Cricetulus griseus: one gene and its partner. The protein of the gene in region 1 purifies or fractionates together with the protein of each later gene. This does not show direct contact. Links are inferred from orthologs where the notes say so. Each region holds a gene or a part of one and is shown on either strand. Other genes may lie near its edges.

Region 1 (5,828 bases):
CTTCTGATCCTTTTGCCTCCAGATCCCGAGTCCTAGGGTTACAGGTGTGTGCAACCACACTCAGGCTATATAGCATTGGGAATCAAATCCCAGGCAGGCACCCTACAAACTAAAATGCATCCCAAGTCTGAAAGTAAATTTTACAAAAGCATCAAAACTGTGTGTCCTCTTTAAAAATCTGCTCTACAGACTCGACACCAAAACTGCAGCAAAAGAAAGCAATTTCCAACTGGTTCTTTAGAAACAAAGCAGCAATAGTTACCAGATACTTTTATATCATCAGAAAAATATGTATTAGCATCAATCTCCAGAATAATGAATCTGCTAGTCACAGCAATACTCCACACCCCCTCCATAAACAATTAAATTAGGAGGCTGTGTATAGAAATATACAAGCTTGCAAGGAGCTTTCTTGCAAGCTTTTTATGTTCCTCCATAAACAATTAAATTAGTTTTTTTGAGTAGTCACAACAGTAAACTGTTTTGGTCACTTATAAGTCTTCACAATAAGCTTGAGGAAGAAGCAGTTCTTTATAAACTAAGTGAAGTAGTGCTTTGTCTATGTTAGAATTTTTTTGATGGTTTTGGAAAAAACTTACTTCCAGCTCTCTTAAAATAGTTGCTGCGTCATTTGTCACAAACAACTTCTCCAGGCGATTGATGACCATTTTATTCATTCCTTTAAAAAAAAAGTTGCAAAGAAAAAAAAATCCATTATTATTCAAATATTCTCCCGAACAAGACAGAGAAAACATGGTGAAGAAGCTGCACTGACTCTTTTTAACCCTTTGCACATATGATCTGTATTTTCAGTCCCACCACACAGCCCATGGTTTTCCTGACTAAACACCCCAATGCACTGAATACAGAAAGCACTGATAAATTGGAATTCACACATAAACACATTTGGCCTCATGTTTAATCCTCTAGTCTGTATCTTTAATTCAAATGGTTAAAGGAAAGCGGTTCCTTAAACTATGTCAACTTTTAAAACAGCTCAGCCCTTTCCATCATGAAGAGCTATATCAATACTGAAGGGCTGTAATTTTCCTATCACCTACTAGGATAACAGTGTCATTTAATTTTCCTAGAAAGCTGAATTTCTGATTGAAAGCTAGGAGCCCACCAGTGCCGTCAACTATGAAACAACCTGCAAGAACTTCCCTGTACATTTAGCATTCAGCATGAGACAGAAGCTAACACGTCCTTCAAGATGTGAAATTGGCCATTACCATTTGGTCCATATGCTGTACGGGTAGTCTGAGAAAGCTCCTTGCAAGCTTGTATATTTCTATACACAGCCTCTTCTAATCCTGAAAAATGCTGCAAAAGAAAACATCTGCTTAAGTAGGGTCATGAGGCAGGAACTTCCAAACACAGGGTATCCCTGCTCATCATGCTTCTCATAAAGTGCCAGGGTCACACAACCATTTATTGAGCACACAGAATCTGGAGTCCAAATAGCCTTAGTTTCCCCCCCTTAGTACAAAGGCCCCAGTAATTTTTCCTACATGTAAAACAATGGGACAACTAACACTTCCTACTTGACAAACTGTTTAGAACCACCTACCTACTGAAGAACTATTTTTCCCTCCCACCCTTAACCTGGGACTGAACCCAAGAAATCAGTTTACCATTACACCACAATCCCAGCCAATTTGCGCCTGCTCTTAATTTCAAATTCTTTTGGGGACTTAGAGGGGCTGTCTTCACTTCAGTCCTCTCAGTAACGATTCATATAATGTATCCCAGGGAAAGCACTGGTCTGAGTGTGACAAATGCTTTTAATGTGCCATTTTCTCCATCTAAATGAGGGAGTCAGACCTAAATTGCAAACTATGGCACTCCACCCCCGATGCAAAGGCAATCAATCGCCAATATCATTTTCCACAACTCACCTACTTACATCAAATTCTGACATCCATGTAGTATGCCCAGGTTATCACCTAGCTCTCCAACACTGTTAGGAGTCCTCTCTTTCCCCTAAGGCCTTAAATTCTATTCACTTACCTATCGCTACAAGTCTTAGTAATACGAAGACAAAATGAAATTATCTGGCAGCTTGAACATCTCTCAGCAAATGGCTGCACAGGCAGTGTGAACACACACACACACACTGTCTCTCTCTCTCACACACACTCTCCCAGACACACACACTCTTGTCTCTCCCCCACACACAAGTCTCACACACACACACACACACTCTGTCTCTCTCACATACACACTCTCTCACTCACACTCTCTCCCACACACACTTTGTCTCTCTCACACACTGTCTCACACACACACTGTCTCTCTCACACACTCTGTCTCTCTCTCTCACACACACAAACTCTGTGTCTCTCTCTCACGCTGTCTCTCTCACACACACTCTGTCTCTCTCTCTCACATACACACACTCTCACACACTTTGTCTCTCACACACACACAGTCTCTCTACACACACTGTGTGTGTCTCTCACACACTCTCCGTCTCTCTCTCTCTGAAATCGTGTTCAGGAGGGGCCTCACTTATGCCGGGGGCTACCACGTGTGGCAGTCAGGATTCTAAGACCCTGACATCTTCTGGCCGGGTCTCCTCAATTCAGGAGAGGTCTGTCTGTCTGCGGTGGAACTAAGCCGGGATCAGCCACCTATGGCGGCTGGAACCGGGAGTCACGGTGTCTCTGGTTTGGAAGGAAGCGTCGGGCTCCCCAGGCCCCTGCCTGCCGCCTTGCATCCCCGGCTCCCCGGCTCCCCGAGGCCGTGCAGGCCCCTCGCGTGCTCGGTGCGGCGGCCCCGCCCTTGCGCACCCCCGCGGAGACCCCGCGGAGGCGGGATGCGAGCCCGCAGCCCTGCCCGGCCGCTCGGGTCAGGGCGGGGGCCGGGGGTCAGCGGCGCGCCTGCTTTCTAGAACCTTCTCCGGCCCGGATCGCGGCGCAGGCGCACGCACGCCGACCCACCCGCCCGCCCGCAGGCCGCTCCGCCGCCGCCGCCCGCAGGCGGCTCCCGCCATCCCCCCCCGCCGCCCCGCCGCCCCGCCGCGTCCCCTCTCCGGGTCACCTACTTTCGCTCCGTCCTTGAGCATCTGGGCAAAGCCCGGGGCCTTGGGGACGTGAAGCGCCATGGCCGGCCCGCAATCAACCGCTCACGCGCTCGGAGGAAGCGAGGGCCGCGCACAGCCTGCCGGGAGCGCCGCTTTGCGTGCCCCTCACGCCGCTCCACCTCCGCCCGCCCCCTTCTGCCCGCCCCCTTCTGCCCGCCCCGCCCGCCCCGCCCCTTTCTCCCCGCCCCGCCCGCCCGCCCGCCCCGCCCCTTTCTCCCCCGCCCCCCGCCCGCCCGGCCTCCCACCGGAAGTGTCGCGAGCACGACTGCGGCGGCGCACACTAGCGGGGGGTTCCCCGCGGCCAGACCCAACCTGCGGCTCCCCGATCGGGTCGAACGGTTAGCCAGGCTCGCCGCGCGCCGAGCGCCGGTGTGTGCAAGCCTGTGTGGTTTGTTTGCTCAAGGGCGCTGCTCTTGGTTATTGATCAGGCCTGCAAAGGAGTGATACCTCCGTTTAAGTGACACGCCGGTAAACATTACAACGGGGATTCCGACCCCGGCTGGCCCGTTGCACAGTGTGCACATTTGAGCACTTGGTATGTGGTTTGCTTTTTGTCCCCCACCCCGCCCCAGGCTGTGGTGCTTGCACGCCTTTAATCCCAGCGCTCGGCTGGCGGAGGCAGGAGGATCTCTGTGAGTTCGAGACCAGCATGGTCTACAGCCAGGGCTACACAGAGAAACCCTGTCTCGGAAAGAAAATTTAAAAAAATCCTTTCTACTCCCCCGAAATCTTTTTCACACACCACTGCTATGACTTTGCGAATCAATACAACTAGTGAAGTAAAATAGTTTTCCCAGGGAAGGTAAAACACTCTTACGGTAAAAATAGGAAAAAAATACAGAAAATTGGAAACGCTTTGGTGGGTCGTCTGGACATGTAGAAATGAAGGTCTTTCTTTATATTGGAACAGATTCATTGTGCCTTTAACGTAATTGCAACTTTTTCTAAATGCAATTAATCATCAATTGGAATTTTTCCTAATGAGCATTTAAAATATGTACTCATGAAAACAATACTTTCTTGCCACCTAACGTGACATGGTAAGGGAACCGTCTGTATTGGAAGCTACTGCAAGACATCGGTAGTTTTCAAAGTTTGGTTTAGACATCTCTGAGGCTCGCCAGGACCCTTTGAGGGTGCATTAGGTTGAAAGCATTCCATAGCGTAACAGAGGTGTCTGTTGCCTTCCTGGGGGAGTTCGGAAGCTGATGAAGTAAGTGTTCAGTATCTCACAGTCTGAATGAGAGAAGCAAAGGGAACTGGGCTGTCTTCCATTAAGTCACACACATATAAAATATTTGGAAAAAATTGTGAATGCCACTCTTCTATAAAGTTATTTTCAATAATATTGTGTTTGCCTGTAGTGTTCACATTACATTTTTAAGTTAGCATTTAGTAGTTTTTCTGATTTATAATGTTAACAACTATTGACAACTATGATACACATGAACAGAAGGGCATTGGTGGGCTCTATATTTTAAAGCATAAATAGGGGTTCTATGACTGCAGAGTAGTTGAGACCTGGACAGGAGGATAGTCCAACATTTTCTCATGGGTTAGCTAAAATAATTAAAACTCATATCTCAGAGAACATAATTTATGAGCATGACTGACACAAAATAAAAAAGAAAAGGGATTTAAAAGTGATACTTGGGGGCTGGAGAGATGACTCAGAGGTTAAGAGCACTGACTGCTCTTCCAGAGGTCCTGAGTTCAATTCCAGCAACCCCATGATGGCTCACAAACATCTACAATTCAATCTGGTGCCCTCTTCTGGCATGTAGGTAGAACAGTGTATATGTAATAAATAAATCTTTAAAAAATAGAGAGTACTTAAAAGTGATACCTGATTCATTAAAAGTGACTATGAGGAATTAAATCTTGGCAAAATTTAATAACTAGATAATAAAAAACCAAAGTTCAAGACAACTGATGGATTTTCATTAAAAGTTTTTAATAAGAATTGACCTTGTATTAATTGTAACAAACAGTACATGGGAAGGATTAGAATCAATTAAAATCTACTGTATGTTATTTTGTCAAGGAATTAGGTCTTAATTGCCAGTAATTCCTTTTAAATGAAGATTTGTTAATTCTATGTAATTTGGGTTACACTGTATTTATAATTACAGAGTCGGGATATCAAGGGGAAACTTCCTGCTGGGTTTAAATAGAGTATGTGTCATCCAGAAAAGAAAAGAAAAGAAACCCCTTAGTGTGACTCCAGCCAGGTCCTAGCCCCTGCTTGTTACACTGGTATCTTTTCCTGCTTGGTTTTACCCTGCATCTTCTAGACACAGTACTGAAACAGCTCCACGTTTCCTTTTTTCCCTGTTTTATTGTTTCCTCAGGGCTCTCTGGAGGCCTGCACGGTATGTGAAATTACAGTGGTTCCAATGTGTAAAGCCTGAGAGGCCAGATGCCCCTGATGTCCTCTTTCCTAGCAAACCTTTCCGTCTCCTTTGGCTGAGTCCACTCCACGTAGGTAAGAGTAACAGTTCCCTCAGCAAGCCTTAGATTATCCCCCAGACATTCCTGGTTATCATTCTGATCATACCTTCTGCATTGCATTTCACATAGTTGCAATGACAAAAATCATTCTCAGCCATTAGGTAAGCACTGCATGAACTGGAACTCATAATAGGATATTGAATGGAATAAGAACTCGCTATCTAATTGCCAGGTGGACTGCCACACAACAAATAAGAATCACAGTGTTGGTATTCTAAAATCTACATGCTGA
Region 2 (5,828 bases), on another chromosome or scaffold:
GGCTAGTTCCAAACCTCCAGGGCTAGCTCCAAACCTTCAGGGCTAGCTCAGAACATCCAGGGCTAGCTCAGAACATCCAGGGCTTGCTCAGAACCTTCAGGGCTACCTCAGAACTTTCAGGGCTTGCTCAGAACCTTCAGGGCTATCTCAGAACTTTCAGGGCTTGCTCAGAACCTTCAGGGCTACCTCAGAACTTTCAGGGCTATCTCAGAACTTTTAGGACTAGCTCAGAACTTTCAGGGCTTGCTCAGAACTTTCAGGGCTTGCTCAGAATTTTCAGGGCTAGCTCAGAACTTTCAGGGCTATCTCAGAACTTCCAGGGCTTGCTCAGAACCTTCAGGGCTATCTCAGAACCTTCAAGGTAGCTCAGAACTTGGAATTCCACCTCAGAACCCTGAGGACCATCTGAGAACCTAGGGCCCACATTCAGACTCCTAGTGAAGAGACTCAGAACTCACAGACTAGGAGTCCATCTCAGAACCCTCAGAGACAGACACAAAACCCCGTGGTCTGTCTCCAAAATACAGAACCAAGATGAGCCACGGCAGCAGGCCAAACACATAGCAACAGTCATCCCAGGCCCCCTGGCTTTCATCAGGCTCAGATACAAACTACCAACAGACGCCGGGGGTGTATCACAGGCCCCCAGGCTCCCAGGGTCCCTCACAGGCTCTCAGAGTGAACCACAGGCTCCCAGACTTCCATTGTCTATCATAGACTCACGGGCTTCCAGGGTCCACCACAGACACCGGGGGTCCATCACAGGCTCCCAGGGGTCTGTCATGCAACTGCAGAGATTTGGCTCTACAATGGAATCCCTGCTGGAAAGGAAAGTTGCCTCCAAACCCTCCTTGGCCTACAGCCCAGGCCCTCCTCCATGGGGACACTCCACTCCCTCTACTGTTCCCACTCAGGCCACTGTCCCTAGATGCTGAGAATACTTTTTGTTACAAGACTAAAATCTCTTCTGCTGGCCTTGGTACCGCCAGAGATGTCTGAGGATGGCCTCTGCCCCACAGATGAGCATCATCCCTTCCCACAAACCCCTGACTCCAAACGGTCACCTGTTTATGCATCTCAATGTTGAGGCCGTAGGACATCTCGTAGTACTGCAAAGGAGACAGTGTTGACCAGTGTGAACAGCTGGCCCCATCCTGGGTACATGGAGTCTTGCTCCAGCCTCAGGGGTGGGAGCTTCAGGGCAAGGCATGGAAGCATGAACCCCACGGGGACCCAGAGGGGGAAGCCAGAAGGCATTGGGCTCAGAGAGGCCGACAAGTGTCCAAGACTGGGGGTTGGGGAGGAGGGCACCCAGAGAAAGCTCCTCATGTCCCTGGCTGCCCTCTTTAGAGGGAACACAAGAGTGGGGGCAGCGAGGGCGGGACCCTACCATCACATAGTGCCTTTGCATCTCTGTCTTCTCGCTGGCCAGCTTTTCACACTCCAGTTTGAGGCTGGGCAGGAAGATTGGACAAAAATGGGGGATCGCCTCACCACACCCCACGTAGGTCAGTTTCCGTGACAGGTAGGAGCTGCCTGCCCACCCCACACTTCTTTAGAAACTGTCTCCAACCCTGGTGAGCCCAGGCCTACAAACCCTTCCTCAGGGAAGGTTTTCCCAGAAACCCACTCACGTCACCTTGGGAACACTGTCTCCACCAGGAAGCCCTCCAGTCCTCCCGGTGAGCCTCGCTCCTTGCCCTGCAGACCACGCCCCCTCCATAAGTCCCCACCCCCGGGGGCCTCCCAGTGCCCAGAGCTGGGGCCCCCTCACCTGTGGTACTGAGCTTGGAGAAACTGGAATTCCTCTTTGATCCGGTCACAGATTTCCAGGACTGAGAACTTGAAAGGCTGGCCGGACTGCAGCGGGGTCTGAGGGGATAGAGGAGAAGGACACGGGGGGGGGGGGAGTTCCGGGCACCAGCAGGTAGGGATCCCCTCCCTCGTCCTCCCCTGCTCCAGTCAGAGGTGGGGGTCTCCGTACTCACCGTACTCACCGGGTGCCTTCCCTGGGGGTACATCCTGCTGATGGACGGATGGGAGAAGGGGCAGCCCAGCTTCGTGGAGGCTTGGAGATGGGGCAAGAGGGAAGCTGGGGTGCGGAGGTGGAGCAGGGGACAGAAATTTAGGGTGCAAAGCTGAGGCTGGGAGTAGAATGTGGGGTGTGGGGCAGAGCAGAGGGTAGAATTTGGGGTGCTATTCTAGAGCTGGGGTGCGGCGAGACTGAGGCTGGAAAAGCTGGGAGAGAAGCCGGAGCTGGGGGAGGGATTTTCACGCAAAGAAAGAGCAGCCAGGGAGAGCCTGCCTGCCGGGGGCAGGGGACCTGGACCCCGCGCGGCGCCCCACCTCCCGCCAGCGCGCCCGGGTTGTCCGGCCCGGGGGCAGCTGCAGCCCGCGCCGCAGGTCCGTGGCCGCCGCCCGGGGTCGGCGCTGGTGGCCGGTAGCTGCGGAGCCGCCTCTCTCCGCAGGGCTCGGCTGGGAGCCGCGGGCGGGACCCGCCTTAAGGTGGCACCGGTCTGCCTCCTTGGCTCCCAGACCCGCTGGGGAAACTGAGGCTTGAGTTAGAGCCTACTGTTCTCGCCCCACCCCCACGCAAAAGAAAAAAAAAAGAATGAAAGAGAAAAACAAGTTAGGAAAAAAAAATCTTGCGTACTCCGGGAGCCCTGGGGGTTGCAAGAGTCTTTCTTGAGCCAGTAACACGGGGCCCCATGAAGGATGAACACCCCCAAACACCAATCCCAGGAAAGGCAGACCCCAGCTATGCTCACTAGCCAATGCTGCCCAGCTGTGGGGACCTCACGAGTGACCTCTCAGAGCATCAGGGGTGAAGGACCAGGACAGAGACCAGGGCAACCTGACATGCATGTTGGTGCCACCACCAGTCCACTGGGTGGCCTCCTCAGACCGGGTGGGGGTGGGGAGTCCAAGAGGACTAGACACCTTAAATTAGTACACAGAAACTTAGGTCTGGGGATAGAACCTGGTCACTAGAACATTTTTGCAGAGCTCATCTTCTGACCACCTCCAACCCTCACTGGGGAATTCTAGGCTCCAAACCATGCCCCAACCCTCCTTTTACTTTTGGAGATGAGGTCTGGATCAGTTCCCCAAGCAAAACGTGGGTTTGGAATCCTTATGTCTCAGTCCTATAGTAGCTGCGACAACAGGCCTGTGCCATCAGTCTCGGCTCTGACAACAAGCTCAAGTGTGTCTCTCACTTATCACCAGGGACCCCCCCCAGGGGGCTTGTTTCCTACTCTGCAGAACAAGAGAGCTCCTACCCCATTTCACAGAGAAGAAACCTCAGATCTGCCCCATCTTTAAGCCAAAATCAATAAACATGTGTGTATGCCTGGTGCTACTGTGGACAATTGTGCCCTGGGAAACTGGGCAACGACGATCACGATCATGGGAAAAGACCCCTCCTCGTTCGTTTGAACATTTGGACCTCTGTGGACAGCTAAGTCAGCTACAGGGGACAAGGGCCTTTACGAGATTCTGCAGAGGGAGGATGTTAGCTGAGACCCGGGACTTCGAGGATAAAAGGACAGACTCTAGGAGATGAGCCACGATCTGCCAAGACCGGGAGCTGCCCGTGCAAAAAGCAAGACTTTAGACAAACGATGACAGAGACGAACAAACAGGAGCCGTTGGTGTCATTAAGGCTCCATTGTAGATGGAGCCTTAAAAAGTCAGGGGGAGCCAGGAATTGACAGGAAGACCCAGAGGGAGGGAGCACCCTGAGTGTTCAGTAACTTTCTGAAGTGCCCCCCAACACCCATCTCGACCTAGAATCCCCCAGTGAGGGGTTGGGGGCGTGGTCAGGGTGGAGCCCCACCTAGAATCCCCCAGTGAGGGGCTGGGGGCATGGTCAGGGTGGAGCCCCACCTAGAATCCCCAGTGAGGTGCTGGGGGCGTGGTCAGGGTGGAGCCCCGCCTAGAATCCCCCAGTGAGGGGGGCTGGGGGCGTGGTCAGGGTGGAGCCCCGCCTAGAATCCCCAGTGAGGGGCTGGGGGCGTGGTCAGGGATGAATCCCCCCCTCAATATCTGGACCACCATGCTCTCCATCTCAGGCCTATCCATCCCTGGGCCTTTGCAGATTCTGTACAGGGCACGGTTCCTTCCGCACTTCTGCATTCCCACCACTCAGATTCTCCCCTATGAACGAACATCTCCTGGAGTCCCTGAAGCATCTTCTAGCTCAGTGGTTCTCTCAACTTTCCTGATGCCGCTAACCATTTAATGCAGCTCCTCATGCTGTGGTGACCCCCAATCATAAAACTATTGCATTGCTACTTCATAATTGTGATCTTGAACTTTTATAAATCGTAGTGTGTTTCCTGGTGATCTCAGGCGACCCCACAGGGGTCGAAACCCATAGGTTGAGAACCCAGCACCTGCTGCTCTGGACACAACCTACTCCTCAATCTGGTTCCACCACACTGGTTTCCTGCTTCATTTTTCCTTGCAGGTCATTCTGTCCCTCCCTAGGCTGTCAGGTCATTCTGTCCCTCCCTAGGCTGTCAGGTCATTCTGTCCCTCCCTAGGCTGTCAGGTCATTCTGTCCCTCCCTAGGCTGTCAGGACCGAGCCACACCCCTATCCCCAGGGCCTGGCTCAAAACTAGAGCGGACAAGGGAGCAAGATCGGAGAACACACCAGAAATCCTGGGCACGCTCCTGATTCCTGGGGAGTCTGAGAAAACACTATGTCCCCACCTTGTGCCCAGGCGGTCTGGGACCCCAGTATTTCCTCTCCCCGTTTGCTATTGGTAGCCCAGGCTGGCCTCAGACTCCCCTGGGGAGTAAGGGTCGCAGTGCGTGTCACCACGCTTACCCTGCAGTCCTTTCGGCCCCGGCCCGGCCCCGCCCCGCCCCCTCAGGGGATGGATAGGCCCCCAGGGATGGATAGGCCTTCCTTCTAGTGACCCTCAGCCTCGGTACTGTCACCTGGTGCAAACCCAGGACATGGTTTCTGCCAGCAGCACTCGTGCAGGCCACACACCGTGCACTCTTCCAGCTCCAGACTCCTTATCCCAGGGGACCTAATGTGCGGTGTGGCTCCCGGACTTTCTCTGGGGCTCGCACTTCCTGGAATCCCCTCCCCCCCAAAGACACACAGGTCTTATCAAAGATGAGCCCAAGGTCCCCTTCCGCAGCCTCCCCACAGCTGTGAAGGCGGCCAAGGTCAGAGGGAGCCCCCGGGAACCCGAGCGGACTTCCCGGAGGAAGGGGCCTCTGCCCCGCAGCTGCGCGTCCGGAAGTCACAGACTCGACGCCTCCGTGGAGGTGGGGGATGCGATCGGGGTCCCTGGGACTGAACCCCATCACGCCCGGCAGCGGGGGGGCACCGCGGAATCTCCCGCCCTCCCGAGTCAGCGTGGCCCCCGGCTGCCCCTGCCTTGGCGGCTCTCCAAAACCAGAGAGGAGGAAAAGGCTGAGGCTCGGAGCTGCCGGACTGCTCGGTCCACCTTAAATCAGACTGGCCGCCCGCTGCCGGGGACCCGCCAATCTCCGCCACGGGTGGCCGGGAGCGCCAGCCAATCGGCTCCCAGAGCACCCACATGGGTCTCTGACGTCACTCAGCGCACTGGCCAATGAGCGCCATGTCCCCGGCGGCCAATAGCAGGAGGCGCTGGGCCGGGCTGCGCCAATAGCAAAGCTCTGGATGAGCTGGGGCGCGAGGCTGCCCCGCCCGCCGGAGAGAGCCCGCGTGGTGGTCCCGGGCGGCGGGGTCCCCTTTAAAAATAAAAGCCCCGTTAGTCCGCCGGGCGGGATTCCTGCTCCCCGGATTCCTGCTCCCCAGCACTTGAGAAGTTGAGGCAGGAAG

Evidence for each region. Proteins that work in one complex are often made in the same cells at the same time.
Region 2: the proteins of Cct8 (region 1) and Tle2 purify together in Homo sapiens (affinity purification with mass spectrometry; 3 studies listed by BioGRID and IntAct, with this or other methods). This does not show direct contact. The link is inferred for Cricetulus griseus from reciprocal best matches to the Homo sapiens genes CCT8 and TLE2.

The regions. Positions count from the first base shown.
Region 1 is NC_048597.1:9,847,359-9,853,186, reverse strand, and holds the start of Cct8 (T-complex protein 1 subunit theta), read right to left. Parts: upstream 3,209-5,828; 5' UTR 3,107-3,208; coding exon 3,047-3,106; intron 2,657-3,046; exon of another isoform or gene 2,512-2,656; intron 1,324-2,511; coding exon 1,233-1,323; intron 680-1,232; coding exon 600-679; intron 1-599. UniProt on the Homo sapiens protein: Component of the chaperonin-containing T-complex (TRiC), a molecular chaperone complex that assists the folding of actin, tubulin and other proteins upon ATP hydrolysis.
Region 2 is NC_048598.1:102,322,291-102,328,118, reverse strand, and holds the start of Tle2 (transducin-like enhancer protein 2), read right to left. Parts: upstream 3,864-5,828; 5' UTR 2,769-3,863; intron 2,762-2,768; exon of another isoform or gene 2,654-2,761; intron 2,619-2,653; exon of another isoform or gene 2,347-2,618; intron 2,340-2,346; exon of another isoform or gene 2,069-2,339; 5' UTR 2,022-2,068; coding exon 1,989-2,021; intron 1,873-1,988; coding exon 1,775-1,872; intron 1,455-1,774; coding exon 1,391-1,454; intron 1,110-1,390; coding exon 1,065-1,109; intron 1-1,064.